Danio rerio: one gene and its partners. The protein of the gene in region 4 purifies or fractionates together with the protein of the main gene of each other region. This does not show direct contact. Links are inferred from orthologs where the notes say so. Each region holds a gene or a part of one and is shown on either strand. Other genes may lie near its edges.

Region 1 (4,131 bases), on a different chromosome or scaffold from region 4:
TTGACAATAAAGCAGACTTTGACTTTGATGTAGTTTACAGCAGTAGTTCCCAAAGTAAGGGTTGGGACCCCCTGGTGGGTCCTGGGACAATGACAGGGGGTCGCTTGGTGATTTCCAAAATCAAATAAATTCTATTAAACAATTAGAATTACCAGATTTTACCCATAACCCACAGAAGAAGAAAAATGCAGTTTTTAATAGTAAAAAACAATAACATGGAAATGAAAAGCAATCAGCCTTTAAATATTTTTTTCATTGGATTGGTGTGTTTATCAATCCTATAAAAATCCAATAGTACATCCATTTGTAAATATCACCATATTTAACTACACTTAAACCCGTCTCCTGCACTTGCTGCTATTGCACTCCTGGTTAGACCTAAACTGCATTTCGTTGATTTTTACATGTGTAATGACAATAAAGTCGAATCTAATCTAATCCAATCTAATCTTTACGTTAGATTAACAACACAGCCATAGTGTCAGCTGCAGCAGATTGATTTTATAGCACAAGTTTAAACTTTGAAACCTTTATGGCAATCAAATACATTAAAAATAAATACAGGCCACAACTGAACATTCAGAATGATCTCCAAATGGTCTCCAAACTTAAACAAAGAATAGATTTGTGCTGAAAGCATTGTGTCTACCAGTCTCATAAGTTGAGGTAAATATAAAATTAAACAAATTAATTAAATGACTATTAAAATTATATGGTTGTTATGCTGTCAATTTTCTCGTGTTTATATAGGGCTATTGTTGTGTGAGCAATACTTGTATATTTATAACCACCTTCAAGGAATTTGGGGGTCATGAGTCACTGGCATTGTTATTTAAGTGGTTGCGGGCTGAAAAATTTGGGATGCTGGCATGGGTATGACTTAGTTGTATTCTATTAAGGGATTTTACGTCAATATAATTTAAATGAAAACTGTAATCCAAAATGATTAATATCATACTTAACAGGGTCTTTTGAAACGCAATATTTACCACAGGGTGGCTGAAGGAGTAGGACTGTACAATTAGGAGTTTTCACAGTATGAAAAACATTACGTCTATGGTGTGTCCCTGTAAATCATGTATACAAGTATGTGTGTGTGTGAAAAAATTCAAATGTTGATAAAGATCTTTAGACAATTTTTAGTTTTCAGTTAAATCTAAGGGACGTTTGGAACCAATCAAATGTATTTGTTTTTAAACTAACATCTTTAATCTGCAAACAGACAGAAAATGTTAAAAAAATGTTTTAATTATGGCTTTTACATTGTTACACAACATTCACACCAAATAAATGCTCTGAGCTCTGTATTTAAAGACTCCTGAAAAACATGAATCACACATCATTTTCAACTTTGATACTAATGTTAAATATTTCTTAAGCATCAAATCAATCTGTGACACTTGGGATAGAGTAATAACCACAAATTAAAGAAAAATTAGCTTTGCAATAAAAGGAATACATTTTATTTAAAATATGTTTAAAAATATTGTTTTAAATATTAACATACATCATTTTACTATGATATTTACGGCGATTACATTGTTATTTTTTTAGCACATTATTGTTTTTCATTTACAAAATGCTACCAACTCTAAAATTTTAGTAAAATGTCTAATTTAAATATAAATTAATACATTATGTGATGAGTTCATATTCAAAGAAGAAGTATTTTCTATTTTTAGCTTAAAAGTAGTGCAATTTGTTATAATAATAAAAAAAACTAAATATTGCATTCAATGGCTCCCTCTACTGTTACAACCTGGCTATACAATACAAGCAAAAAACCCTCATGCACAAACTTCCACAAATGCTGTCTGGTTGCATCAAAACCAAAATAATATTAATAAAACAAAAAAACAATATTAATCTGCAAAGTCACAAATGATTTCAGTATACTTACATCTATCTCTCCCTCATCGATCTCTCCATCATCCTCTTCTTTCTTTTTATCACGGAACGAATCTCTCCTCCCTCCTTCCCTCGAGTCCTCAGATTTTCTCAGGGGTGTGTCTCTGTTATCCGGAGGCAGAATGGGTTTCCTTTCCTTCCTCTTGCGCCTCTTTTCCTCCTCTTCGTCCTCCTCCTCTTCATCTTCTCCATCCTCCCCTACAGCAGGCTTCTCTGGCTCGTCTTCCTCAGGAGCAGCAGCGCTCGGCTCCTCTGGAACCTCTTCATCATAATCCAGCTCGTGTTCATCCAGATCTCTGGACACAGAAGACTCATCCTTCAGATCGCTCACAACCATCGCCGCTCTCCTCCGCCGCCTTCTCTCCTCTTCCTCATCCTCCTCTTCCTCAAGCTCTGCCTGGCCAAGGCCGGATTTGGTTGTCGTCTCATCTTCTTCCTCCTCCTCATCATCATCTCCTCGCTCTTCCTCTGCTGGAGTAAATGGTCGCTCATGTTCTGCCGCTGGCGAAACAGGATCTGGAGATCTTGGCGTCTCTAGGATTTCCTCCTCAGGAGACTTGATAGCCTTCTGCGCGATTTCTTGAACCCTCAAAGCACCCTCTTGTTGGTGGATGTCTTCTCTCTCCTCCCGGTCCAACTTGTAATCTTCCACATCCGAAAGCTCCTCTGGATCTTCTCGGCCAGCAGGCTGCCTGTCTCTGTCCTCAGAGTCTGAGTCTCCTCCATGCTCCGGGACTTCATTTTCATCGTCATTCAAGAGCTCACTGTCTGATACTCCCTTGTCTGCTTCTGCTGGGGACTCAGGCGACTCCAGCAGCTCATTGTCAGAGAGACCCTTCTCCTCCTCCTCGGGAGACTGCGGGGACTGGGTCGGGCTCTCAGGTGTATCCATTAGCAAGAACTCTGAAAAGGATATTCAACAACAGACAGAGTTTGTTTGTTTTAAAAATAAAAAAAGATGAAAAACATGTAACATTTAAAACAGTTTAACTTTGTCACTCACAAAAAATCATAATAAAAAATACATACTAAAATTAGGAATAACAAAATGTTTAATTAAATTAAAAACGAGTCACTGTTAAACAGCTAACATTATTTATAATCAAAAACAATTACAAATATTTATTTTTGATCAAATATTAAAAAGCTTCAAGGTAGCATTAAAATATATTTAAGAAAAACACAAAATATTAAGATACAAAACAATTTTGGTTAATATCTTAGATACTAAACTGACAGTTAAAATACTAATTTGCAGCATAAATAATACCTACTGTTGCACATGTGTAAAACAAATCTAAACAACACAGTGAAATGTCTCTTAACTTCATTTAGTAAATATTTTTTTATATTGTCTAGTAGTTCTTCTAATTGTTATATATATATATATAGTGCTCAGCATAAGGTACAGCCCATTTTGAAAATTAATATTTTCAACCATTTCTCAGTGAATTTAGGCAATTTATTTTGGTGCATTTGAACAAAACAGATTTATTCAACAGATAATTTAATAAAATAATATTTTAGTTACCAAACATATTTAGAAATTGAAAGAGAATACAATAAATCCATGCTAAATATTGCAAAAACACTTTACAACTAAATTAAAAACAAATTTTTTTTGCACAACCAACACACACACTTAAAAATTAAAGCTATTTTATTATATTTAAAGTAGGGCTGCATGATATGGAAAAAATCTGAAATTTGACATTTTCAATTATCTGTCATATATATTGCGATATTCATATAATTTCAGCAGATGACTTGAATACCACTTTATGGAATTAAATCATTCATTTAGATTTATTGGGTTAATCTTGTGGCAGAGTGAATCAAACAAATTGCAAGCATAAATAAGATAAGATTTTGTAAAGACAAAAGTGAAATATGCAGATTTCCAGAGAATCAAACAGTAGTCAAATATTCAGGTACAGTAATTAAATTATTAAATGCAATGTAAAATAATACAAGTCTTTATTGCTGATCAATCATAATCCCAAATTATTGCAGATACTGCGATGTGACAACTGCAAATGCACACAATGCGATATTGATGCTGAAATGATATATTGAGCAGCCCTAATCTAAAAGAAACCAAACATATATTTTGAATATGTATTTACATATAATGCACTAATATTAGTTTATCATTTTTAAAAACAACTAAGTTCATTATCAAAAATGACATTAAGCTTACACTAATATCAAAATCAATAACAA
Region 2 (4,120 bases), on a different chromosome or scaffold from region 4:
TATATATATATATATATATATATATATATATATATATATATATATATATATGCTCCCTTGCTGCCCCCTGGGGTTCTCCGGAGCCCAGTTTCGAAACCCCTTGAATAATGCATGTTTACATTGCGCTAAGGGGTCAATTTGTTATGATTATTTCAATGGTTAAGCAATTATCGTCACTAAAGTTTGTTTTGTAACATCAAAACAAGACACTTCAAGTGCTAACATTTCTGCATCAGACATTATTAAATGTTACTTAATAAAACATGCACTGTGAGATTACTGTAACTTTTATTCATGAGGTGACACTTATTGTATTTTAATGACATTGTCAATTATTATGAAAATTTGGGTCCACAAATTAATATTTATTCAAGTACTTGTGATTTTATAAATTTATCTTTTTTGAAATTAATTCTTAAGCATTACATAGTGAGTGAGTTAAATGTCATAAATAAATCGCAAAATTGCGAATTTCGAAAATTTAATTTTCTAAAAAAATATATTTTTTTCAGTTTTCATCACGTTTGACATGCCAGCCTCTACATCACTCCGCTCAAATTGTAAAAAAAAAATCAATCTATAAACAAACCTAATAAATAGATGCGTTAATTGCGTCAATACTAAAATTCGTTAATAATTGTGCGATGCATGTTACGATGATCATAATTATTATTTAAAATGTTATCGAATCTAGTAAAATCCCACTTAAAACTTGCAAACGTGACTTAAATTTTTTTTAAATTACATTTTCGAACAAAAAAAGCGACTATCGTGTTGATCAAACCGTTCATTAAGACTAAAAAAAACTTCCAATGTTATGTCTGATGGAACTGTTGGTCATGACATAAAATCAAAAATGGATCATCAGAAATTTCATGCACCGTAAATGCCAAGCAATTTTTTTATATGCCTTAGCTAGTATTATTACTTGCTGGTCACCCATTGGATGAAGACTAGTGGTGTGAGATGACTTCAGCAACAAGACCCCTCCCATCTTGTGCAGTTGCTCAGCAACCAGCTCATTGTTCAAGGTGCCATCTAGTGGCTCTACATGTGAATTACAAGAAACCGCGCCCTCTAGTGGCCAGACCTCTTGAATGAAAATGCCTTATCATGATGAATACATGAAACATAGAAAGTAACCACAACCTGACTAAGTCTCAACTTAAAAGTTGATTATGCTTCCCCACGTGGTTACAACTGAGAACCAGCAGAAGTCATACAAAAGAAAGTTTTGGCATGTCAAGCCTGCTTAAATCCGATTGGTCAGGCTCGCAGTATGATAATTACCCTCTTGACGTCACTTCCCAGTTGTTCAATGCGCCATTTTCTCGACTCTAAACGGCAAGCACAATAAATGGGTCCTACTTCCAAATTTTAATAAATACAATTAATAGCTGATTTCCATAACTGAGAGCACAGACTTCTTGTTGGAACATCCTTACATCGTCTCATCATCCTAACTCGTCGGTTCTGGCAGACACGCGGATTGGTGAAAGTAGGTAAATCTCCCTGGGTCGGTGTGTGGCGCCGAAAAAAGCTAATGTCCTCACAATTAGATAGCGGCGAGAACATTAGCTTTTTCGTTCAGTTGTCGCGCGGTCGGTGTGATCAGGAAGTAGAACGAAGTGCATTAGCCGAGTGCTCTGAAGAGGTTACTTCATGACATCACTGCGCTATTTGGAATCTTGCTTTCTAGAAGGGAGTCTTTTTTCCTGCAATGTGAAATCGCTCTTGTCGGTTTTTTTCTATCGATGCGGCGCTCTTGGAATATTATTTTCGCCCGGCTATAGAGTTACACTGGACGCTATTGTTTGGAAATTTCCGTGTGCTTTTGGCGGCGGGGTTTTATACGTTTGGGCAGCGGTCGCAGTTAATGCTTGCAATAAATAAATAATTACAGCTCGAATTGGATATGCTTTTGGGCACATTTAGATCATGGAAGTGCAGTCATTTGCAGTTAGGATTAGTTTATTTTAATCGATGCAGAATCGAAATTTGTCATTTTTATCCTGCATTTGTGCCCAATATCTGACATGTAGCACAAAATGATTTTTCCACATGTTCGGTAATACAAAGCTGTTCTCGGTATGCAATAATTAGCTAACGTTAGCCTTGCTATTGAATTCACCAGATTGTGTTGAAAGCGCTACACATTCAACAGGCAGAGATGATGAATATATGTGGTCAAAAATATATATATATAAATAAATAAAACAAACACTTAATGTTTCTTTACCTTTCATCACTAGCATGCACATTTTTATAATGCTAGGATCTCATGTTTGTTTTTGAGCAATGGAGATGGGATGTTAAATCAGCCTCATAAGTCAAAAGTGAAAACAAGCATCGTATTTATAATTGTATAAGAGTTGAACTTCGAGGGAAAATGTCCCTAAGATCTGTTTAATTTTATTTTTGTGACAGACTTATATACTTGAAATTAAAACATGCTTATCTGTTCCTGAATTATGCAAGCTGAATGCATACTTAGGGATAAGGCTAATAATAGATATGCTTTTATCTATATATTTCAATGTATCATATTATATGCACATTATGCTATTATACTGTTACACTTACCACAGCTAATTATGATACTATAATGGGGTTACATATATTGTACATATATACATTTATTTGCTTGGAATACATTTTAAAAACTTTGAAAACGTCTGCGCATGTGCTTGACCCTGCATTCATATAGATGCACAGATTGCAATCTGTGCATGTGTTTAAATTAGTTTACTTATGTATAATAATGAGAAAGATTACATTAATTGAAATAAGTTCACCAAAAAAAAAATCAAATAACTTTTTATTGTACGTGTACTATGAGGAGTGAAAAGCTTAAGTGCTGGCTCCAGACAGTGCAAAATACAACATATTCCCAAAAAACAAAAACAATATACAATTAGCAGTGTTGACAGTAATGCATTTAAGACAATGAATAGGTGTACAGATAGTCTGACTGTTGATGGAAAATTGTTGTAGGCAATATTGTTTTAAGTAACGATTGGTTAAAGTGTAGTGCATGCTATGTCTTGAAAATACTACCTATTTACTCATCTTTGAGAAGTTCCTGACCTTTGAGTTTCACTATTATGCTGAACGCAAAATAATTTATTTTGAAGAAAGCTGAAAATCTGTAAGCTTTGACTTCCAAAGTAAAAAAAAAGCACATGTCATAGAAGTCAATGATTTTCAGCATTCTTCAGTATGTATTCCTTTGTGTTATGTATTCCTCCTGCTAAAGCAGGTTTTTAACAAGTGAAGATGACAGTGAATTTGTCACGTGAAATGATTTTCCAGGTTGGAATAAACTGTCCTATTTTTTTTCTTTCTTTCTTGAGTATCCTAATTATTAGCAAAAGCAATTCAGGCTTTGTTCACACATGCCCATTCACCTGATTTATTTATTTAAATCTGGACTGAATGTACACACTGTTATGCACTGATTGTATTTTGATCCTCACTGTACACTGCAATCGTTCAGGATCTTGTATATATATCCATGCTGGTTTCTATAGAAATTGTATATAGGTTGGTGTCAGCTTTGTGCTCTACAGACACACACAGTGACAAGCAGTAAACCACTGCAGGTTAGTTGAGCTGATAGTGGCATATCCCTACCAACATTCAAAACTACTTCATTTTTCTTTACAATAATCTTGGTCGAACAGTACAAATGGTTTCCATTTATAGTGTCTTGTTTTTATATAAATAGTTTCCAGGCTAAAATGTCTTTCCAAAATGTATTTATTTAGTTAGTTTATGAATGGTTGTGTGTTTAGACCTAGCTAGCTAGCAATTCCAAATAGTTAAAAACAACCTGAGCAAACAGAGTAGAAAATTGGTTTACATTTTTTTTGTGTAATAATATTATAATACTACGGAGTATTTATTGTAGTACTGTATAATTAGGCTAGATGATTTTAATAATCGTCTATAGATAATTATAAGATTCACAGAATAATGAAATATAATGACATATAAATCTCTTTCAGGTGTTGCACCATGTACCAGTTTCCAGTAAAAGGTTTGGAGAAGATCCGCAGAACAAGGCGAAAAGTAAAAAATATTCTTGGAGAATTTGGACTTGAAGCATGTCTTAATCTGG
Region 3 (3,500 bases), on a different chromosome or scaffold from region 4:
TTTTTTGAATAGGTCATATTTAGTAAATACACAGACATGCTTCCTAAGGAAGTGCTAAACCAAGATGATCCAGAGCTGCAGAAACCAGATGAAGAGGCAGTGAGAGAGGTAAGATTACAATTCAGTAGCAGTTTCTGATAGATTTCACAATTTTGTTTCAGTTTCACAATCATGCTTAAGACTGCTATAATGTACCCTTTTGTTTAAAAATTAAATACTATAATTAAATATTTACACAATTAATGCATGTCATTTTGAAATTATGTAAATGTTAACATTTTTCTTAAGTTACTGAAGTGAACTTTGAATAATAAGAAAGCTTAACAATTTTCTATCAGTGTTGTTTGATTTAATTAACATTAGGTTTGTTAGTCTTCATTTACACACTAGTGTCTAATATCAGGGTGTCTGCAGGGTTTTAAAAGTCTTAATGCTTTTAAAAGCAGAAATTTAGCCCTTAAAAGTCTTAAATTCACTAAAATATAGTGGCATAGGTCATTTCAAACCGGTCTTAATTTTCCTGTGTCCAAGTAAAGCTACCCTAACGGACTGACACCCAATAATCCATCTTAAAACTATTTTGTTTATATTTAAGCTTTTTATTGCAAAATTATACAATTCACAACAGCTTCTAGACATTTTTACAGCAAATTCTCCAAATTACATTTCCTAATCAGGGAATGAAAACTAATGCAACACATCCCTTTACATGATCTTCCATTAATATAAAAACTATTTACAGAAGTAACCAGGCTATTAAAAAAAGTCCCTATAAGGCTGAAATTTCACTCATATTGGCCTTGAAAGGGTCTTAAAAAGTCTTAAATTACACTTAAAGAAACCTGCTGAAACCCTAAATATACATGCACTGGCTTGAAATCCTTAACTTGCATTACTCTTTTGTACTGTGGTGTTAAAACAGCATTGATAATGGAAATATTTATGTTTTAATCAAGCGATCCTCATGAAATTAAATGGTCATTACGCAGAACCAGCATGAATTAACTTTTCTTTTTACCTCTGATGTAGCTTACAGAAAAGACCAGATTAGCTCTGGAGAAACAGGTTTCACAGAAAATCGCGGCAGCTATGCCTGTGCGTGCTGCAGATAAACAGGCCCCCGCGCAATACATTCGGTAAGAGTGACTTGTGAATGATGTGAAATTGTCGAATTTAAATAAATGTTCTGGTTTTAGTACAAGTTAGGCTGTTTTATCAGTATGATGTTCATTTACTTTAAAAAAAATATACTATATATAAACGTCTTTCTTGTTCTCAAAAAGTAAAGCATATCAGCTAGTGTTAAAAAGCTGTGATTATGTAAACGCATGAATAATTCGTTAAAACTTTTGTACTGTTAAAACAGTTTATTGTTTGAGCGTTTAAATTGTCAGATTCCTTTATGAGGTTGGAATAGTTGACCCCTTATGTTTTTTTTATTAATTTGGCTATAAAAAGACTGAAGAGACAATTATTTTCTCTGGTAATGGAGATTATGGTGCATATACTGTTGATGGAGAAAATTTGAAGGAGGCAGTGTATTTTTCTTTATACAGTGCATTCGGAAAGTATTCATAGTGCTTCACATTTTCCTATTTTTTTTCCACATATTACAGCCTTATTCCAAAATGGATTAAATTAATTTATTTCCACACAATTTCTTTAATTTCTAAATTCTACACACAATACCCTATAATGACAATGTGAAAAAGTTGTTTTTTTTTTTATTGTTGCAAATTTATTAAAAAATAAAACGCCTGAAAAACCACCTACAGAAGTATACACGGCCTTTAGGCTGATTTATACTTCTGCGTCAAACGTCGGCGTATGCTACGGCGTTGATGCATAGCCCTTCGCCGTGGCCGGCGGCGTCACTGACGTGCACCTCTCAAAAAATGTAACTACATGTTACAACAACAACAACACGTAGCGCAAGCTCTGTGATTGGTCGGCTTGGTATCGCTGACGAGTCTGGGCGGGACCGAGAGCCGTGTGAACGGCACTAGCCCAATGGAGCGATTGTTTACAAGTGTGGAGTCCCGTGAAGGAGCTCCGGATGGAAAGTTTTATTTTGTGTTTACCTCATAGTTAAAGTTGTTACACGTCCGCCGGTTCCTGCCTCAAAATGAGCGAGTTTGAGCCGCTGGTACATCCAGGAAGTGTTCAGGAAAAGCAAAACAGCAGCGAAGAGACTTCACACAGGAACACTTACACCTCACTGCCAACTAGCATTTCGAAGTGTTAATGCAGACCAACAGTGACAGCGCGCAGAAGTATAAATGCAAAGCTATGGGCGTTGCATGCGCCAATGGTTTCTCCGGTCACTTGACGCAGAAGTATAAACCAGGCTTTTGCGGTGAAGCTCCACTGATTATTCTTGAGATCTTTCAGCAGCTTAATTGGAGTTGACCTGTGGTAAATTCAGTTGATTAAACATGATTTGAAAAGGCATACACCTGTCTATATAAGGTCCCAGGGTTGACAGTGCATGTCAAAGCACAAACCAAGCATGAAGACAAAGGAATTGTCTGTAGACCTCTGAGACAGGATTGTCTCTGGCCACATGGCTGGGAAGGGTTACAGAAAAATTTCTGCTGCTCTGAATACTCCAATGAGCACAGTGACCTCAGTCATCCGTAAGTGGAAGGAGATTGAAACTACCAGGACTCTTCTTAGAGCTGGCCGGCTATCTTGGTGGAGAAGGGCCTTAGTCAGGGATGTGATCATTAACCCGATGGTCACTCTGTCTGAGCTCCAGCGATCTGTGGAGAGAGGAGAACCTTACAGAAAGACAACCATCTGTGCAGCAATCCACAAGTCAGGCCTGTATGGTAGAGTGGCCAGACGGAAGCCACTCACCATCTGGAATTTGCCTAAAGGCATCTAAAGGACTCTCAGACCATAAGAAACAAAATTCTCTGCTCTGATGAGGCTAAAATTGAACTCTTTGGAGTGAATGCCAGGCGTTACGTTTGGAGAAAACCAGGCACCGCTCATCACCAGGCTAATACCATCATTACAATGAAGCATGGTGGTGGCAGCATCATGCTGTAGGGATGTTTTTCAGCAGAAGGAACTGGAAGATTAGTCAGGATAGAGGGAAAGATGAAGGCAGCAATGTACAGAGACATCCTGCATGAAAACCTGCTTCAGAGTGGTTTTGACCACAGACTGGGGCGACGGTTTGTCTTCCAGCAGGATGTTGACCCAAAGCACACCGCCAAAATAAATAGACTGACTTCACAAAACTTGGTGAACGTCTTTGAGTGACCCAGCCAGAGCCCAGACCTAAATCCTATTGATCATCTCTGGAGAGATCTGAAAATGGCTGTACACCGTCACTTCTCATCCAACCTGATAGAGCTTGAGAGGTACTGCAAAGAGGCATGGGCACAATTTCCCAAAGACAGGTGTGCCAAGCTTGTGGCATCATATTCAAAAAGACTTCAGACTGTAATTGTTGCCAAAGGTGCATCAACAAAGTATTGAGCAAAGGCTGT
Region 4 (4,222 bases):
TACATTACAACATCGATGCTGTAAAAGGAACCGTGTAAAATGTAAAAAGTCACATTAACTGTTCACCGAAGGGTTTATCAGTATGGGAAGAAACACTAGCTCTGCATATACCCTATGGCAGTACTACGCACTGCCTGCAGTAAAGACACACCCTTTCAGCCTGACATGGATGAGAAGATATAGGTGAACAGTCATTCTTAAAGCTTTTTTGGAAAACAAAAGTGTTCTCGGAGCTTGGGATGATTACAGATGAACCACTGAAGTCACATATAAGGGTTTGACAGGGTTTGTTCCGGACTTTGAATGTCTGCGGACCATTGCTGTCTATGAAGGATGGGAGTGCTCTCGGAATTAATTGAAAATATCCTCATTTAAGTTCTGAAGATGAACAAAGGTCTCAGGCGATTGGAATTGTCATTTTTGGGCGAACTAACCTTTTAATCTGATGGCGTATGTAACTAGTTGCTCTGCTGTCAGCTGGCTGTGTTTCAGCATTAGGGTCAGTTCTATGACATTTGAGTAAATATGGGAAACGCAGTGACACATCTGTCTTTATGAATGGCAAGTTCCTATAATAAGACATGGCGTATGCATATAAATAGAACTGACTGCTAGGTTTGCCTCCTGCTTTAAATAGATAATCTTGGCCAAATCTAAATGTGTACGGATGAGAATGTAACTTCTGCATTTTCCTCTCTTGAGAAGTCTCCTCGACCTGTTGTAAGCCCAAGCAGCTGAAGTCACCGGAGTTCAGACTCTCTAAGCATGTCCCGGGCTTCTTTTTGAGATTGTCACAGCACACGCAGTTCACAAAAGTTAGTGTTTATTTCACCGTTTCCCCTAGACTCATCAATCTCCGGGCCTGATATGCGATTAAAAGAAGCGCTGATGACATTTCATCACCTCTGAAACTGGGAACTGCGGCTCTTGTGAGTGTGTGGCATTTGACAGATACCCGAAGCGCACTACTTGTTAGCCTGACTTCTAACCAGGTGCTCATATGGGTTTTTTGTCACTCGTGCACCAAAAACCCAGCCAGGTGGACAGACAGCCGCAGATTATTATGGGCTGTCGCCAGCGGCCTGGGGTTTCCCTGGAGACCATGTGACTGGTGTTGTTTTTTTTCTTCCCTCTCTTTTAGGAGTTGTGTTTATTATGGGATGTCAGAGCGGCCTGCTTATTAGTATTATGGGATGGCAGAGAGGGCGGGAGGGGGCAGTGTCTCCATAGCAACGCGGTTGCTAAGGGGGCAGGGACTAAGAAAGGGGAAGGCAGTGTATACTTGCTACTGTGTGTGAGGGGGAGATGAGTATTATGGTCTGTAGGTTGCGAGGTAACTATGCAGAGTTGAGTGAGTGTTGTAGGGAGGGGGCAGTGTGCCTGGGATTATTATGGGATGTCTCTACCCCCCCTGATTTCTTTGTGTGTACGAGGATGTTCGCTTCTGGTCACTGACGCTGGGGAAAGGGGAGAAGAGTGGACGACGTCTCCCAAAGATTTACACCTTTTCGGAGCTTGTTTTTTTATTTTTGTAGTGGTAGGTAGTAACCTGCAGATTTCGCGTCAGAATAAAAGCTGATCGTAGCGCCGACCATCTACACCTTGGACTGACCTGTAAGTCAATTCCTCCCACCCACTTCCAACCGCCCGCGTTAACGATATAACGTAGATATACAAATGTATGTTTTTGTTGAGTTTTTTCTTAATGTAGCTTAAAACAGAAAACAAACATACAAACGTAATATTACTGGTAACTGTTACTTACAACTGCTATACCTCGCGTCATAACGCGCCATATGGTGTTTGTCGGGGGCTTCGCCACCTCCGCGTGGTATTCTCATGGAGGAAAGTTTTAGGTTGACGAATATAACCAGAAACGACAGCAGATAAGCGCTTTAACTCAACTCATCCAGCCGGCTGCCATTTTCCCTGCAGCCGGATCACTTGACTCTGTTTGCTAGCTTTGCTAACTTGATTGACAGCTAAGTTGAGGCTTCCTTTGCTCGGACCGAACGAGAAAGTTTACGAAAAAAGCCGAAATTATACGACTACGTCAAACTCTTTTTAACACTGCACGCCGTGTGATGATGACATGCCAACATGTTTAATTGATTTCATTTAATCTAAACACAGTTAGCCTCCCGTGTCACTTGTTTCTCTCGGTGTTAACATGGGGTGCTGCTAAAGCCCATTACAAAATACTGTGGTCATTTCTGTTTTATTCAGCGTCCAAACGGGAAAATGTCGGGGAGTGAAGACGACCGGGACCGCTTTGAACCCATGGGAGACGGTAAGGCTGTCCAGAACAGAGTCCGGACCCTCATTAACCACATCATGTTATATAACCTTCCCAAAATGAGCCCAAACATGCAAATGAACTGCTGACTTGTCAACGTAGATCTGGACAAATGGCCGTTTCTGTGAGGAAGAGTATGGCGGATTGAATGTTTGTATGTTTTGTTTGTTTGAGCCTCCAAGCCACGTGTTACCGCATCGCAGTACCTATTAAGTACAATCTTTAGTTTATGAAGGAGCATCAGCATGCAGAAGTCACTTCCTGATTCACTGGCTTGTATTACAACCAGCACATTTAAACGAAGAGAAACCTATTTGATACTGTACTTAACTTATTAAAAGCGAAACTAGCTTGATTTTGTACCTTAGCAATCACACCGCGCGGAATATTGTTTAGCATAGTGTGTCGAACCCATTTGTTTTGCTTTTCCTCTCCTGGCTGCCCTCAGTAATGGCGCTGGTATTGCAGCCTATCAGCAGAGAGCTTATAATAAATGAATGATTTCAAAAGCAAGAGCCTTATGCCCTAGTTTCACAGCTGCTAACATATTTGGACAGTTGGGTACATCTTAAGGCAGGAAGGCATGAAAGTGATGTATTCTGAAGACTAAACTGTTGTAATGGCTAGAAGTTCATCTATTAAAGTCATTAATTGCATTTAGTTCTTAGTCCTTAAGAAAATAATTAGGATTTCACATATTCCAGTCTTATGCATAATATAATATTCTCTGCTTGGGAAGGATAGGACAGACATGCAATCAAAAGAAAGAGGATTGTGCAGCTTTTAATTTTTCATGTATGATTCATTCACGTCTGTGTTTTGAACAGATATCGAAGAACAAATATCAGAAACAGATACTCCCAAATCCAAAAAGAAGAAGAAAGCAAAGAAGAGTCGTGAAAGCAGGACTAGCAAACGACAGAAAGTCATCAGAGAGGTGACACGCAAACACAACATACACAAGGACACGTTTGATTGAACAGTGACATAGTTTCAGCATTATTCAGATATAATTACTGTTCTTTTCAATTATCTATTGATCAAAAATGTATCGCTGAGTTTTCACTGCAGCTGTTTTCATTGTTAAAGGGCCATGAAACCCCCTCTGTTTTAGCAGGGTATTTTCACACCTCTAGTTTAAAAACGTCAGCAAAGTGGGTGAGTCCAGCTTTGTTTAGGTGGGAGTGGCGAAAGAGGAAAAGGTTTGCATGAAAAGAGGAGTTTGATTACATGCACTACAGCAGCCACACAGACGCAGGGAAGATAGACCAGGGGCCTGTTTCAGTAAGGAGGTTCAAACAACTCAGAGTTTAAACTTGAACTCTGAGTTGATTTACCGAGATATTAAAAACTCTGAGTTTTCGGTTTCAGAACAGCTGATCTGAGTTGGGTCAATCAACTTCGAGTAGACCAACTCAGAGTTAAGCGCGCACACCGTGACTATAAAAAGGCATTATCAGTGGAGCGCAGACATTACGAGTGACTATGGCAATATCTTATAAAAGAGATCAGCATTTCTTTCTCCAGCTGAACTTGATGTTCTCATGCAAAGTTATAGCAAATATGAGTGTATATATTTGAAAAGAAGCAGCCATCAACCAGTTAGCGTGGGAAAACAGCTGCTCAAGATAATGCCTAATTTAACTTTTTAGGTATTTAAATATTTAAGTATAATAAAATAAGTAATGTAATTTGTGAAGTTTATATATTTTTTTCTAAACTTTCTTTTATACATTTATTAGTTTTAAATGATTTAACAGTGCACTTGTGTGTCTGTCTTTTTTATTGATCAAGTGATAGAGGTTAATATAACATTTAGAAGGTAAGCAGTACTAAAAATAATTTTTAGAAAGAATAATAATCCCATTAATCTAGTTACAGTGCATATCGAAGGTGAATTCAATTTAATTATTTATTAAAAAAGCA
Region 5 (3,500 bases), on a different chromosome or scaffold from region 4:
ACAAATAAGAAAAAATGTAAATACAAATAAATAAATATGTACAAATAAAACAAACACATAAAAAACAAATATTATAATAATATAAGTGAAAAACAAAAACAAATTTATACATAATGAATAATAATAATATAAATAAACAAATAAAAATAAATATAAAAAATGAATAAAAAAATACTAAAACAAAAATGTTAATAAATATAAATAAATAAAAATAAACTAATACATATAAATAAAAAATATATAAATACAAATATATGAAAATAAACAAATAATAATAGTAATAAAAAACAATTCATAAATAAATTAAAAAAAAAAAAATATATATATATATATATATATATATATATATATATATATATATATATATATATAAATAAATATAAATGAATAAAAATAAATAAAATAAATACATTTAAAAACAATTACAAAAATAAGTAAAATAAAAATATTTTAAAAAAAACTTTTTTTCTTAAGGAGACTGAAACATTTGAATCAGGATCAGACATGTTTTTATAAATAAGATGAGACTGGGCATCTTTCAATAGTTTTAGGTCATTTTCATAAACCTCAAAGGTTGACTACTGTATATTCAAGTAATACAATTAATTCAAACAGTCTAAAGCATCAAACTTAAGTCTTAGAAATTACAACATGCATTTAAAACCAATAATAGTAGAAAAGTCTTGTAAACTGGCCAAAAAAATGTCTTTATAGTTTAAAGCGGGGGAAAATTAAGAGAATAAAGTGAGGCACCGTTGAGTGTCGATAGCCCAGACTGCACCGTCTGCCACCCGTCACAGACCACATGTTACGATGTTCCTGGATCTTCTGGAAGACGTTTCCGTTCCACCTCCTGTCCTTTTTGTATTTTTTAATTTTCTTCACCTATTCGAATGAGGCAAATAAAACAACTTGTTCTATACACTTCACATGTATATACTTAATAGAACACATATACATAAACTCTACTGTCATATATGTCATGTGCAGAGTTTGTTATTTGAAACAAGCACAAGTTCTTTGTATGAAACAAAGCACTTTACTTGCATGTAAAGTCATCTTTTATGTACATAAATTCACGTTTGCAAATGTCAATTTCCTGCAGAACCTAAAATGGGATGTTGCGTTTTTGATCCAAATACAACATTTCAGACAATGTGCTCTGTAATGAAACTATGACTAGCAATATGTCTGTAAACTGTCTGCAGTGGACTATTAGTCTGAGATCTGCTTTAAATGACTCTTCAGTATTAGGCACAGAACATATGAGAGGTCAGAGTTTTAATCCTCACCTTTCCGCTGTCGAACTCACTATCCCACTCATCAATGACAGTCAGGTTTTTAGCGTAGCGTGAATCCTGAACGGCATCTCTGCTGATGAGTGACGGATCGCCTTCCCAACTGAGAACTGATGGATGAAATGAATCAAAACAGTCAACAATTCAGCTCAGCGAACCAAATCAAGTATTCAGATGAGAACTTCAGGAGATCTTAAACAGGGTTCTTACACCGTTTCCAACTTCAAATTCCAGCACTTTCCAAGCACTTTAAAGGTGCATTTGTATGCTTTTTCAGCACCTAACAACCACGGTTAACCATGTTTATATATGTTGTATGCATTTAATCACATTTGAATCCATTGTGCTATTTTAAAAAACACAATATGACATTTCACCTTAAATTGTTGAATACTCTAGAGCATAGATTTATTGGGATAGTTCACCCAAAAATAATTAAAAAATAAATTAAAAAAGTTTAGTTTTTGGATGAAGTATATTTTTAAGTTTGAGCTCATTCTTGAGATATCAACTTTAGGTAGAAAGAGACCAAAGTCAGATTTTGTTTGGGTGTAGTCCCAAACTTTCATGACCAGTTGTTCATGATATTTCAAGTGCATTGCTATTTTTTTACAGTATTTATTAAATATATATATATATATATATATTGAATTGGCGTTTCAGATGCATTCAAGTTGCATTCTGGGTGAATTTCTCCTAAATACGTATGAAGCTAATAATGCCAAAACAGTTTAACAACTGAACAACTTAAAACTGTATTTTTTACATACCCAATATTTGCAGTCTTTGAATTCAGAACCAAAAAATCTAAAGTTTGAAAATATGTCTACAAAAATTTGACTTAAATTTCAGATGTTTAATAATCAAGTTAAGAGTTTCAAATTCGGTTAAACAATTTTTAATAGCATATAATCAGTTTTATTAGCTTACAGGTGTTAATAATTTGACAATTCAAATTCAGATTGTTTTGGCATATTATTGGCTCCATACATACATGCATGCGGTGAACGTTTTGCAATAAAAACTAGACGCATGAAAACTATTTATGCACTCGCACATATGCTCTCAAATATATTTAGAGGTCACAGATGAAATTGTGCGCATATGCAACCAAAAGTCACAATTTCGAGCCCAGCAATTTCAAATTCAAGCAGGTACAAACACTTTGTTCAAAATCCAAGCACTTTTCTAACCTTGAAAACACAATATTAAAAATCAAGCATTTTCCAGGATTTCCAGCACCCGTAAGAACCCTGTTAAAGGAGTTTTTGGAGATTTTTTTAATATTTTGGATATATATATATATTTTATATATTTTTTTATTTTTTGGATAGTTAAAAACAGTATTTGGGACATTTCATATGCTGCAAAACAGTTGCTGGATGACACTGAATGTCTGTAACAAAATATAAAACATTCAAAGTATTTTAAATAGCCACTTAAGAGCTAAAATGTGCTGTTTACGTACGTGACCACTAAGCCCTAGGAGGTTAAATGTTCTGAGGCAGTTTTGTGGAATAATTACCATCTGGATCTATGCGGCATTTCAGATACAGGTAGTTTAAAAATGCAGTACATGTAAGAGTGACATCCGGTGGTAGAATAAGGTATTGCACTTCAAATTCAAAACACTTTTTCACTGTGCCCCTCCTCTGAAATACAGGGTGCCAGATTAACGACAGCAACAGAATCGAGCCTGACTATCAGGAAAAGGACAAAAACAAATGAAAAACACATTGATTGAAAGCTCACCCTCAGTTCCATAGGCTTTATCAGAGGAGTTCTTGAGGAGCTCCTGAACCACATCACAGCTTTTCTTGCCGTCCCAGCAAACAGGAACAGCGCAGGACTTTTTGCCAGACATGTCCTCTGCTTCTTCATGATTCTGGCTGCTCTTGAATCCATCTTGAACCTGACTGTCCCAAACAATCACTGGAGCTGAAACAGAAAACCAGAGAAAGGACTCATTTGATGTCTTAAGAAACCTTAATATTTTGGGCTTTTTTTACTCAAAGGTGATATTTCAACAACGTCTTGCCATCAACAGTTGACTACTCTTAGTGTCAGGATGAGTCGTTCACTGAATTCAACTGATTTGGTCACAGCTGCTGATTAATTCAGAATAAAAAAAGTAACTGTCTTAATGAAAGAATAAAGACAACATTGTGGCAATACAGGAAACTTATATGCCATCAACTTGTC
Region 6 (3,500 bases), on a different chromosome or scaffold from region 4:
CAGACACACTTTTCCCCTCTTTTTGTGTGCAGCTAATTCTAATTGGTGCTAATTTAGCACTAATTGCTGCACAGTTTTGCTCTCAGGGCATTTGGGAGCAATCAGGTCTTTTTCACAGCAGTGCATTGTGCAGATCACCCCCACCATTTTGTTTATTATCCAAATTATAATTAAAATAGAATATAATATTTTACGTTTTTTACTTGTTATAGCTTATATACATTTTTATTTCTGTGTGTGATTCCTTCTGTTAGCTGAATTATTGAAGCGGTAAAATATTATAATTGCTATATTATTTATATTAATATACCAAGCATATTAAGCCAAGACGCATTTAAATTAATCCCAAAATTGCTTTGTACCAGAATAGGTATCACAAAAAAATGAATTGAACATAGCTTGGTAGGGAAGGCATGGCTGTAATTGTTGTTTAATTTTATATCATCTTTCACCCTTATTTACATTTGGGCAAAAAAGTACTTTTCCAAATTGCATCGTGTTCAATAAGCTATTATCAGATTTCCTATATTCTTGAGAATAATTAGAAAATAAAGCCTGGCATGACAGACAGGGCTGCTGTTTTAAAATTCAGAGTCTGTCTTCAATGTATTTCATTTTAATTGAAAGCACAGCAGATGCAAGCCTGTCATTGTTGGCCTTCTCCACAAATCTCTACCTCTTTTGCAGACATAGATATCACCCTGAAATTTGGAGCAGCTGGGTTTCTCTTTACACTCTGGGCCTTATTCTCTGTGGTTGGGCATGGTAGGCACATACATTTTAGATCCAACTCTATTCTGCATCCAAACTTATGTGCCGAGTCTCAGTCTTTTGCATTGCCAGCCTTGAGAATAAATTGTCTGTGGTCTTAGAAAAAAATATGACTGAAGGGTTTTCATCAGTAAGGTGCGCGTATGATTTGTGAAAGCCAGGAGAGCCCCTGATTGAGGCAGTGACGGTTGGGAGATGGGCAGCCATCCAGGATAGATAACATCGCAATGGTATTTCAAATTGTGTGCTTGGGTTTTTGTGAGCTGCCAAGGATGAAAAATGAAAAACAAAAAAAGTGAAAAGAAATTGCGAGATGGCTCTCCTGGGGTGACTGGACTGGATGTGCTAAATATTAATTTGAGGTTGGGGTGATTGTCAGAGAGGCCAAAGCGTAGGTTAGAATTTGGATGGCTGCTTAATCAGGGCCTGTTAGATACCTGCTGGGGGATCACTCATAGGGAAGATTTGGAGTAAGCTGATTTACTGAATAACATAGAGATACTGCCAATCTCTGCCAAAATGATCATGATTTGAATGTGGTGGTCCTTCCCCCTTTACTTTGCTTATTGTAATTATGTTGCAGTTATAAAGGGGCTCTCAGAAGCTTTTGTGTGGCAGTGGACTGGTGTACTCTAGTTATTGAGAAAGTCTAATACTCAAACTTCTTTTAACAATCAAAACCTCTTGTTAACCTCAGCTAAAATCAGTGCTTGTCTGCGCATTGAAAAACATCAAGCTTCTATTTTCCATAACTGCTGCTCATTTCTGAGCTAATTCATGAGTAATTGCCACACAAGAATTCTCTCTAAAACATCAAGGACAGTACTTGCTGAATATCAGGTCCGCCATCATTATACACGTTCTAATGTCTTTTCTCTCTTGTTTTTTTTATTTATGCAGGTCCCTGACAGGCTGGATGAAATGAGATCCCCATGTAGCGATTACCATGGAAACTTGTGACTCCCCTTCTCTCTTAAGGCAGGAAAATGGGCAGCAGATATCAAAGCTACGTGAGACGACACATCTTGATAATGAGGTGCCAGAGAAAGTCCCTGGGATGGAGCCTGACAAGGAAAACAGCCCTGCGGATGACAACCTGAGGACGGAGGAGAGCCTTCGAGAGATCGCATCGGGATTGAGTGCAGAGAATGCGATAGGCACGGCCACTAAAGAGATCCCCTGCAACGAATGTGCCACTTCCTTCTCGAGTTTACAAAAATACATGGAGCACCACTGCCCGAATGCTCGCCTTCCTCTTCTGAAGGACGAGAACGAAAGCGAGGTCAGTGACCTTGAGGACAGCGATGTAGAGAACCTGACAGGAGAGATAGTTTACCAGCCAGATGGCTCAGCTTTTATTCTTGAGGACTCCAAAGAAGGTGGTCAGAATGCCCAGTCAGGGGTCAAAAGCCTCTTCTCCCCAGCACTGTTTTCAAACTCCCAAACTGCTGCAGGGGACAAGACTGAGCAGTCGGCCACAGCCCCCATGTCCTTTTATCCACAAGTGATCAATACCTTTCACATCGCTTCATCCCTCGGGAAACCATTTACGGCCGATCAGGCTTTCCCAAATACCTCAGCATTAGCAGGAGAAGGTCCTGTGTTGCACAGTTTCCGTGTCTACGATCTCCGACACAAGAGTGATAAAGACTATCTTACCATTGATGGTGCAGCCAAAAACTCCTGTGTGTCCAAAGATGTTCCAAACAATGTGGACTTGTCTAAATTTGATGGTTGCATTAGTGATGGGAAAAGGAAACCTATTCTGATGTGTTTCTTGTGCAAGTTGTCTTTTGGTTATAGTAGGTCATTTGTAACCCATGCTGTGCATGATCATCGGATGACCCTCAATGAGCAGGAGCAAAAGCTCCTTAGTAATAAATATGTCTCTGCCATCATACAGGGCATTGGTAAAGACAAAGAACCTCTTATAAGCTTTCTGGAACCAAAAAAAAACAATTCTATGTTACCACACTTTTCTACTGCAAACTTCATGGGCCCTGATCCAGGCATTCGCAGCCTGTGGAACACCTTTCACATGGAAAACGGTGATTCCCTACAGGCTGGTTTTGCCTTTCTGAAAGGTAGTGCCAGTTTGGCATCTTCTGCAGACCAGTCGCCCAGAAGTGCCCAGATGCCAAAGGCTGAACTGAACCTCGGGGTCATGGCCACTTCGGCTCTCAAGTCCCCCGTCAGCTCTGTGTCTCTCCAGCGCTCGTCACCAGGGGCTGGGTACAGGGATCAGGAGAGCAACTGTGAACGGCAAAAGGACCTTAGCACTTTGCATGCAAATGGTGAGCTCCCCATCAAAAGCGAGCCTAGAGATGTTGCCGACGCTGAGGAGGAAGACATGTATTCAAATGAGCTTGATGACGATGGTGTTTGTGAACTTGAGGATAGTACCAGTAGCAAAGATTTCCCTCTCTTAAACCAAAGCATTTCTCCTTTATCGTCCAGTGTGCTAAAATTTACTGAAAGGGGTACTACTTCCTCTGTGACTGTTGCCAATGACTTTGAGAAGACAAAGCATGCTGCTGCCAACTTGGACTACAGCAATGACTCTACTAGTGGAGGCAGCAAAGACAGCTGCGACTCCATCAGTGGCAGGGGTGGCAGTCCGCCATCTCTTCCTCTTGACCTGATGCGACGAGATGATGAAAGCCCAGGCCCTCTGCACCAGCATGCTGCCACTCCCAGCACCCCTGGCACCCCTGGCCCAGGAGAAGGCT
Region 7 (3,798 bases), on a different chromosome or scaffold from region 4:
GGGGAATGTTTTTGACTGGTTGTCCTCTTTGGAGTACGCTTGTTTGTGAGATTTCTTCTTTTACAGCATCTTCAGTCTTAACATCCTCCTCGTCACAACTGCTCAGTGAAGAGGAAACACTCTCCGGCTCTTCTTGACTTGTCATCTGGCTATTTTCCTCCAAGAAACGCCCTTGTCCTTGCAAAAAGAGCAAAGCATTGGCGGCCTCCACTTGTGCCTCTTGTTTATCATACATTTCACAAGAACCTGCTTCTTTCATATTTGGGGAAAGTGGCGCTGAGGTGAAAACTGAAGGAACAAAATCAGGGGATCGAGGATTTTTCACTTGTTTTCCTGTAAATGGAAAAAAAAAACATTGATGTATTTAAGAGTGCATTCATGTTCTTTAAAAAAAACTAATAATTTATATAAATTAAAATGTTATGGTTTATAAGACACTTAAAAACAATGTGCAAATTCACCAGGCAACTCAATTTATAAGCGTTTCTTTGTACAACTTCAGTGCATCAGACAGTTTTAAAACACAGTATAAATCAGTAACTGTCCAAATCAAGCACAGACAATTAGTCTTTGATGAAGTCTAAATATTAAAATACACAAATGCAAACTCTTACAAGCAACTATCGTCTGATACAGTATTTTTACACATTCATCTAGTGGTTATAATGTGTTATTACATATAATCTGTTTTCTCCCTCCAGATGGCACCAATGGCTTATTAATATATATATATTTATACACAAACACACACATTATAATTATTTTACTATAGGGCATATTAAATTGTGTTGTATCAAGAAATATAAAAGAAAAACAGCGCATTCATTTTTCACATGTTAATTTAGTGAGCAATACCATGCGTTTACCCCCCCAAAAATAATAGCTTAGTCCACATTTGTATTGAACCCAAGCCCTAAAGTGCATTATAACAGTAAGAGTAATGTAGGCATCAGGCAGGGCTTCATCACCATTTAACACATTACTAGACATATTTACAACCATCACAGAGATTAGATTACTGCTAACCTACACATGCTATATGCACCACATAAGATGTTACCCTACCTGAAATGAAGTGTGTGCTGCAGAGTCTGCTGCCCTCGTTTGGCACCCACCCTTCACGATTCACAGCAGCGATCCAGCGCTGCTTCCGCTCCGGGTCGCGGGGAAACCTGTAAAAGGATAACGCGGTCCCTGGAGTTCTCCTGTTCCGACAACCGGCCACTACGCAAGTGTGCACCATATTAATGCCACCAAATTAGTGGACGTATTTGGTTTCCTGAACTAGTAATATTTACAATCTGACTCCCAAAATGGCGGTGGGGGAGAGTAGGCGACACGAGTGTGTCGTCATTTCACTAGTCGTAACCGGTCGGTCGTGATTGGTCCTCGCTGTCTTGGCTATGATGATATCATCTCACCGCGCCGCGATCGAGCGTTTACTGGCGTCGTGAACAGCGACTCATCGCTTATTCTTTCAACAAATAAGATAAAAATGGCTGTGGAATCGAGGGTCACACAGGAGGAGATCAAAAAAGAGCCAACAAAGCCAGTGGATAGAGAAAAGGTTTGTTTTCAGTTACTTCTGTTCGTCAGTGGCGCGAATATTCGTGCACAAACGAGGCGTCCTGCATGCTAAGCTAATTTGTAAATCTAACGCTAACTAAAAATGTAGGTACACAGAAACATTACAAAATATCTAGTTGCAACGTTATACTACAAATCGTATCTTAAACCGTGTGCATTCCTTTTAGACATTTGGCCTTTTTGTTTTATTTTGTACTCATTTTATCTGTTAATGTAGCATAGCGTACATTCTGGCAAATAAAAAGTTGCTTTTATTAAGCTTTTAATATATTTTACCCATTTTCTTATCAAGATTCTGTTTTGGACTGGTAAAAAAACGTCGACTAATATTTAACCATCCCAGTGCCATTTAAGTAAAAAGTCACATACTCTTTGTTAACAGGCTTCCATTTAAAAACGCAATTATATAAAAAATGTTTAACATTATATTTTTGGCACATTTCTTCAGTTTTGTTTTGGAGTAAAATTGAGCATGTTTTCATTTCAGGCCAAATGAACTAAAGTAATACAAATGTTGTTCTGATCGTCGACTTAAAGACAAATAACCTCTAAAAATCTGCACAGAAAAGTATATTTCTCATAAATCAATTTAGTGTTAAAACTACTTTTGTAGTTATTATCAGAATTGATGTTGGTTAAGAAATGAGATTACATCTGCACCAGTGGTTAGTGCGTCAACACATGCACTTCGGTGACCCGAGTTTGATTCCTGCCTAACGATCCTGTGCCAACTGTTTAATAACCATTATATTGGATGCACAGACACATCTGCATGTCTGATTGTTTTAAAAGACATTGTTATTAATACTTTCTACATGTGTTTGTTGTGCTCGTTGTGCAGACATGCCCACTTCTCCTGAGAGTGTTCACCACCAACAATGGAAGGCACCATCGCATGGATGAGTTTGCCCGGGGGAACGTGCCCTCTAGTGAACTTCAGATTTACACCTGGTAAGTATTATTATAAAACAGGCACTGCATCAATGATCAACTGAACCATACAATCCTGATTTGTATATGCCTTGGCTGCAGGATGGATGCTACTCTAAAAGAACTGACAAGCCTGGTGAAGGAAGTCTATCCGGAAGCTCGGAAGAAAGGCACACATTTTGGATTCGCCATTGTTTACCCAGACCCCAAACGACAAATCTACCGGTAATGAATACACAGTTCTTAATACTGTGTTAAGATTTGTTATGGATTTTTTATAACTCCACTGGCTTTATTGCAGGGTTAAAGAAATTGGCAACACAGTTTCTGGGCGCAAAGGTGCAGATGACTCGATGACGCTTCAGTCACAAAGCTTTCAGATCGGAGATTATCTTGACATTGCCATCACTCCGCCTAACCGCGCACCGCCTCTCCAAGGACGCATGAGGCCCTACTGACCTGAAACAACACTTGACTGCATTTAAATGAAAGGGGTGAAGTCTGTCTTCCTGCAGAGTTTAGTTCAGCCCTTGTCTGAGCTTTTCAGGTGAACTGCAAGACTTTGATTTGATCGAGTGTTTATGTCGGAACTAAACTCTGCAGGAAGGTTTATGCAGAATAGCAGCATGATTGAGCTGATAATCTCGATTTGGAAGTAAAAAGGAAAGTCTTTTCATATATTATGTTCTTTGTGGAGTTTTTTATCAGATCTACCTTTTTAGTTCTAGTCCTGTTAGCGTGATTCAAATCATTCATGAATAAATGTTTTTTTTTTTCAGTATCTTGTCTAAAGTCGTATCATTTATAAACCTTTTTTTAGTTAAATGAAGTATTCATTGTTTAAATAAATATTTCAATTTAGCAAGTAGATCTCAGAATGAATGCACTAATGATTAAGCTTTAGTAACTTTATAGTTGTCTCTAACTACTTTGTACTTTTTCCATGTAGTGCAGAATATGAAGATGTACAAGTTGGTACATTGTAAGTACACTTACAATTTAAAAGTATAGTATTCGCACAGTAAACTTTACCCCAACCCTACTATTGAACCGTACCTCACATTCAGTAGCAGAAAATGTGGGAAATTTCCAAAATAACATGTAGCTATAAAGTAACCATTTGGCCTTGTTGGCATTTGTATGTTCGTTTATTGTAGTTAGGTTAAACTGCAAAAGCATTTTGTCCATCTGGCTTTATCTACTGTAACTCAGGGGTGTCCAGAGTCAGTCCTGGAGCGCCAATGTCTTGCAAAGTTTAGCCTTAACCCTAATCAAACAAAC

Evidence for each region.
Region 1: the proteins of chd4b (region 4) and zc3h18 purify together in Homo sapiens (affinity purification with mass spectrometry; 3 studies listed by BioGRID). This does not show direct contact. The link is inferred for Danio rerio from reciprocal best matches to the Homo sapiens genes CHD4 and ZC3H18.
Region 2: the proteins of chd4b (region 4) and adnp2b purify together in Homo sapiens (affinity purification with mass spectrometry; 3 studies listed by BioGRID and IntAct, with this or other methods). This does not show direct contact. The link is inferred for Danio rerio from reciprocal best matches to the Homo sapiens genes CHD4 and ADNP2.
Region 3: the proteins of chd4b (region 4) and snw1 purify together in Homo sapiens (affinity purification with mass spectrometry; 3 studies listed by BioGRID and IntAct, with this or other methods). This does not show direct contact. The link is inferred for Danio rerio from reciprocal best matches to the Homo sapiens genes CHD4 and SNW1.
Region 5: the proteins of chd4b (region 4) and usp36 purify together in Homo sapiens (affinity purification with mass spectrometry; 3 studies listed by BioGRID and IntAct, with this or other methods). This does not show direct contact. The link is inferred for Danio rerio from reciprocal best matches to the Homo sapiens genes CHD4 and USP36.
Region 6: the proteins of chd4b (region 4) and zfhx4 purify together in Homo sapiens (affinity purification with mass spectrometry; 3 studies listed by BioGRID, with this or other methods). This does not show direct contact. The link is inferred for Danio rerio from reciprocal best matches to the Homo sapiens genes CHD4 and ZFHX4.
Region 7: the proteins of chd4b (region 4) and sap18 purify together in Homo sapiens (affinity purification with mass spectrometry; 3 studies listed by BioGRID, with this or other methods). This does not show direct contact. The link is inferred for Danio rerio from reciprocal best matches to the Homo sapiens genes CHD4 and SAP18.

The regions. Positions count from the first base shown.
Region 1 is NC_133193.1:18,526,620-18,530,750, forward strand, and holds the start of zc3h18 (zinc finger CCCH domain-containing protein 18), read right to left. Parts: upstream 2,801-4,131; coding exon 1,901-2,800; intron 1-1,900.
Region 2 is NC_133194.1:23,184,530-23,188,649, forward strand, and holds the start of adnp2b (activity-dependent neuroprotector homeobox protein 2b), read left to right. Parts: upstream 1-1,320; 5' UTR 1,321-3,602; intron 3,603-4,007; 5' UTR 4,008-4,017; coding exon 4,018-4,120. UniProt on the Homo sapiens protein: May be involved in transcriptional regulation. May play a role in neuronal function; perhaps involved in protection of brain tissues from oxidative stress. May be involved in erythroid differentiation.
Region 3 is NC_133195.1:5,545,895-5,549,394, reverse strand, and holds part of snw1 (SNW domain-containing protein 1), read left to right. Parts: intron 1-12; coding exon 13-108; intron 109-1,029; coding exon 1,030-1,136; intron 1,137-3,500. UniProt on the Homo sapiens protein: Involved in pre-mRNA splicing as component of the spliceosome. As a component of the minor spliceosome, involved in the splicing of U12-type introns in pre-mRNAs.
Region 4 is NC_133191.1:34,981,233-34,985,454, reverse strand, and holds the start of chd4b (chromodomain-helicase-DNA-binding protein 4), read left to right. Parts: upstream 1-1,422; 5' UTR 1,423-1,614; intron 1,615-2,226; 5' UTR 2,227-2,241; coding exon 2,242-2,290; intron 2,291-3,123; coding exon 3,124-3,233; intron 3,234-4,222. UniProt on the Homo sapiens protein: ATP-dependent chromatin-remodeling factor that binds and distorts nucleosomal DNA. Acts as a component of the histone deacetylase NuRD complex which participates in the remodeling of chromatin.
Region 5 is NC_133178.1:61,789,192-61,792,691, forward strand, and holds part of usp36 (ubiquitin carboxyl-terminal hydrolase 36), read right to left. Parts: intron 3,237-3,500; coding exon 3,051-3,236; intron 1,409-3,050; coding exon 1,293-1,408; intron 886-1,292; coding exon 754-885; intron 1-753. UniProt on the Homo sapiens protein: Deubiquitinase essential for the regulation of nucleolar structure and function. Required for cell and organism viability.
Region 6 is NC_133199.1:27,221,213-27,224,712, reverse strand, and holds part of zfhx4 (zinc finger homeobox protein 4), read left to right. Parts: intron 1-1,671; 5' UTR 1,672-1,717; coding exon 1,718-3,500. UniProt on the Homo sapiens protein: May play a role in neural and muscle differentiation. May be involved in transcriptional regulation.
Region 7 is NC_133184.1:22,881,634-22,885,431, reverse strand, and holds sap18 (histone deacetylase complex subunit SAP18), read left to right. Parts: upstream 1-1,380; 5' UTR 1,381-1,495; coding exon 1,496-1,567; intron 1,568-2,428; coding exon 2,429-2,538; intron 2,539-2,619; coding exon 2,620-2,742; intron 2,743-2,818; coding exon 2,819-2,975; 3' UTR 2,976-3,298; downstream 3,299-3,798. Other genes in the region: uncharacterized protein zmp:0000001333, read right to left, coding at 1-333, 1,066-1,243. UniProt on the Homo sapiens protein: Component of the SIN3-repressing complex. Enhances the ability of SIN3-HDAC1-mediated transcriptional repression. When tethered to the promoter, it can direct the formation of a repressive complex to core histone proteins.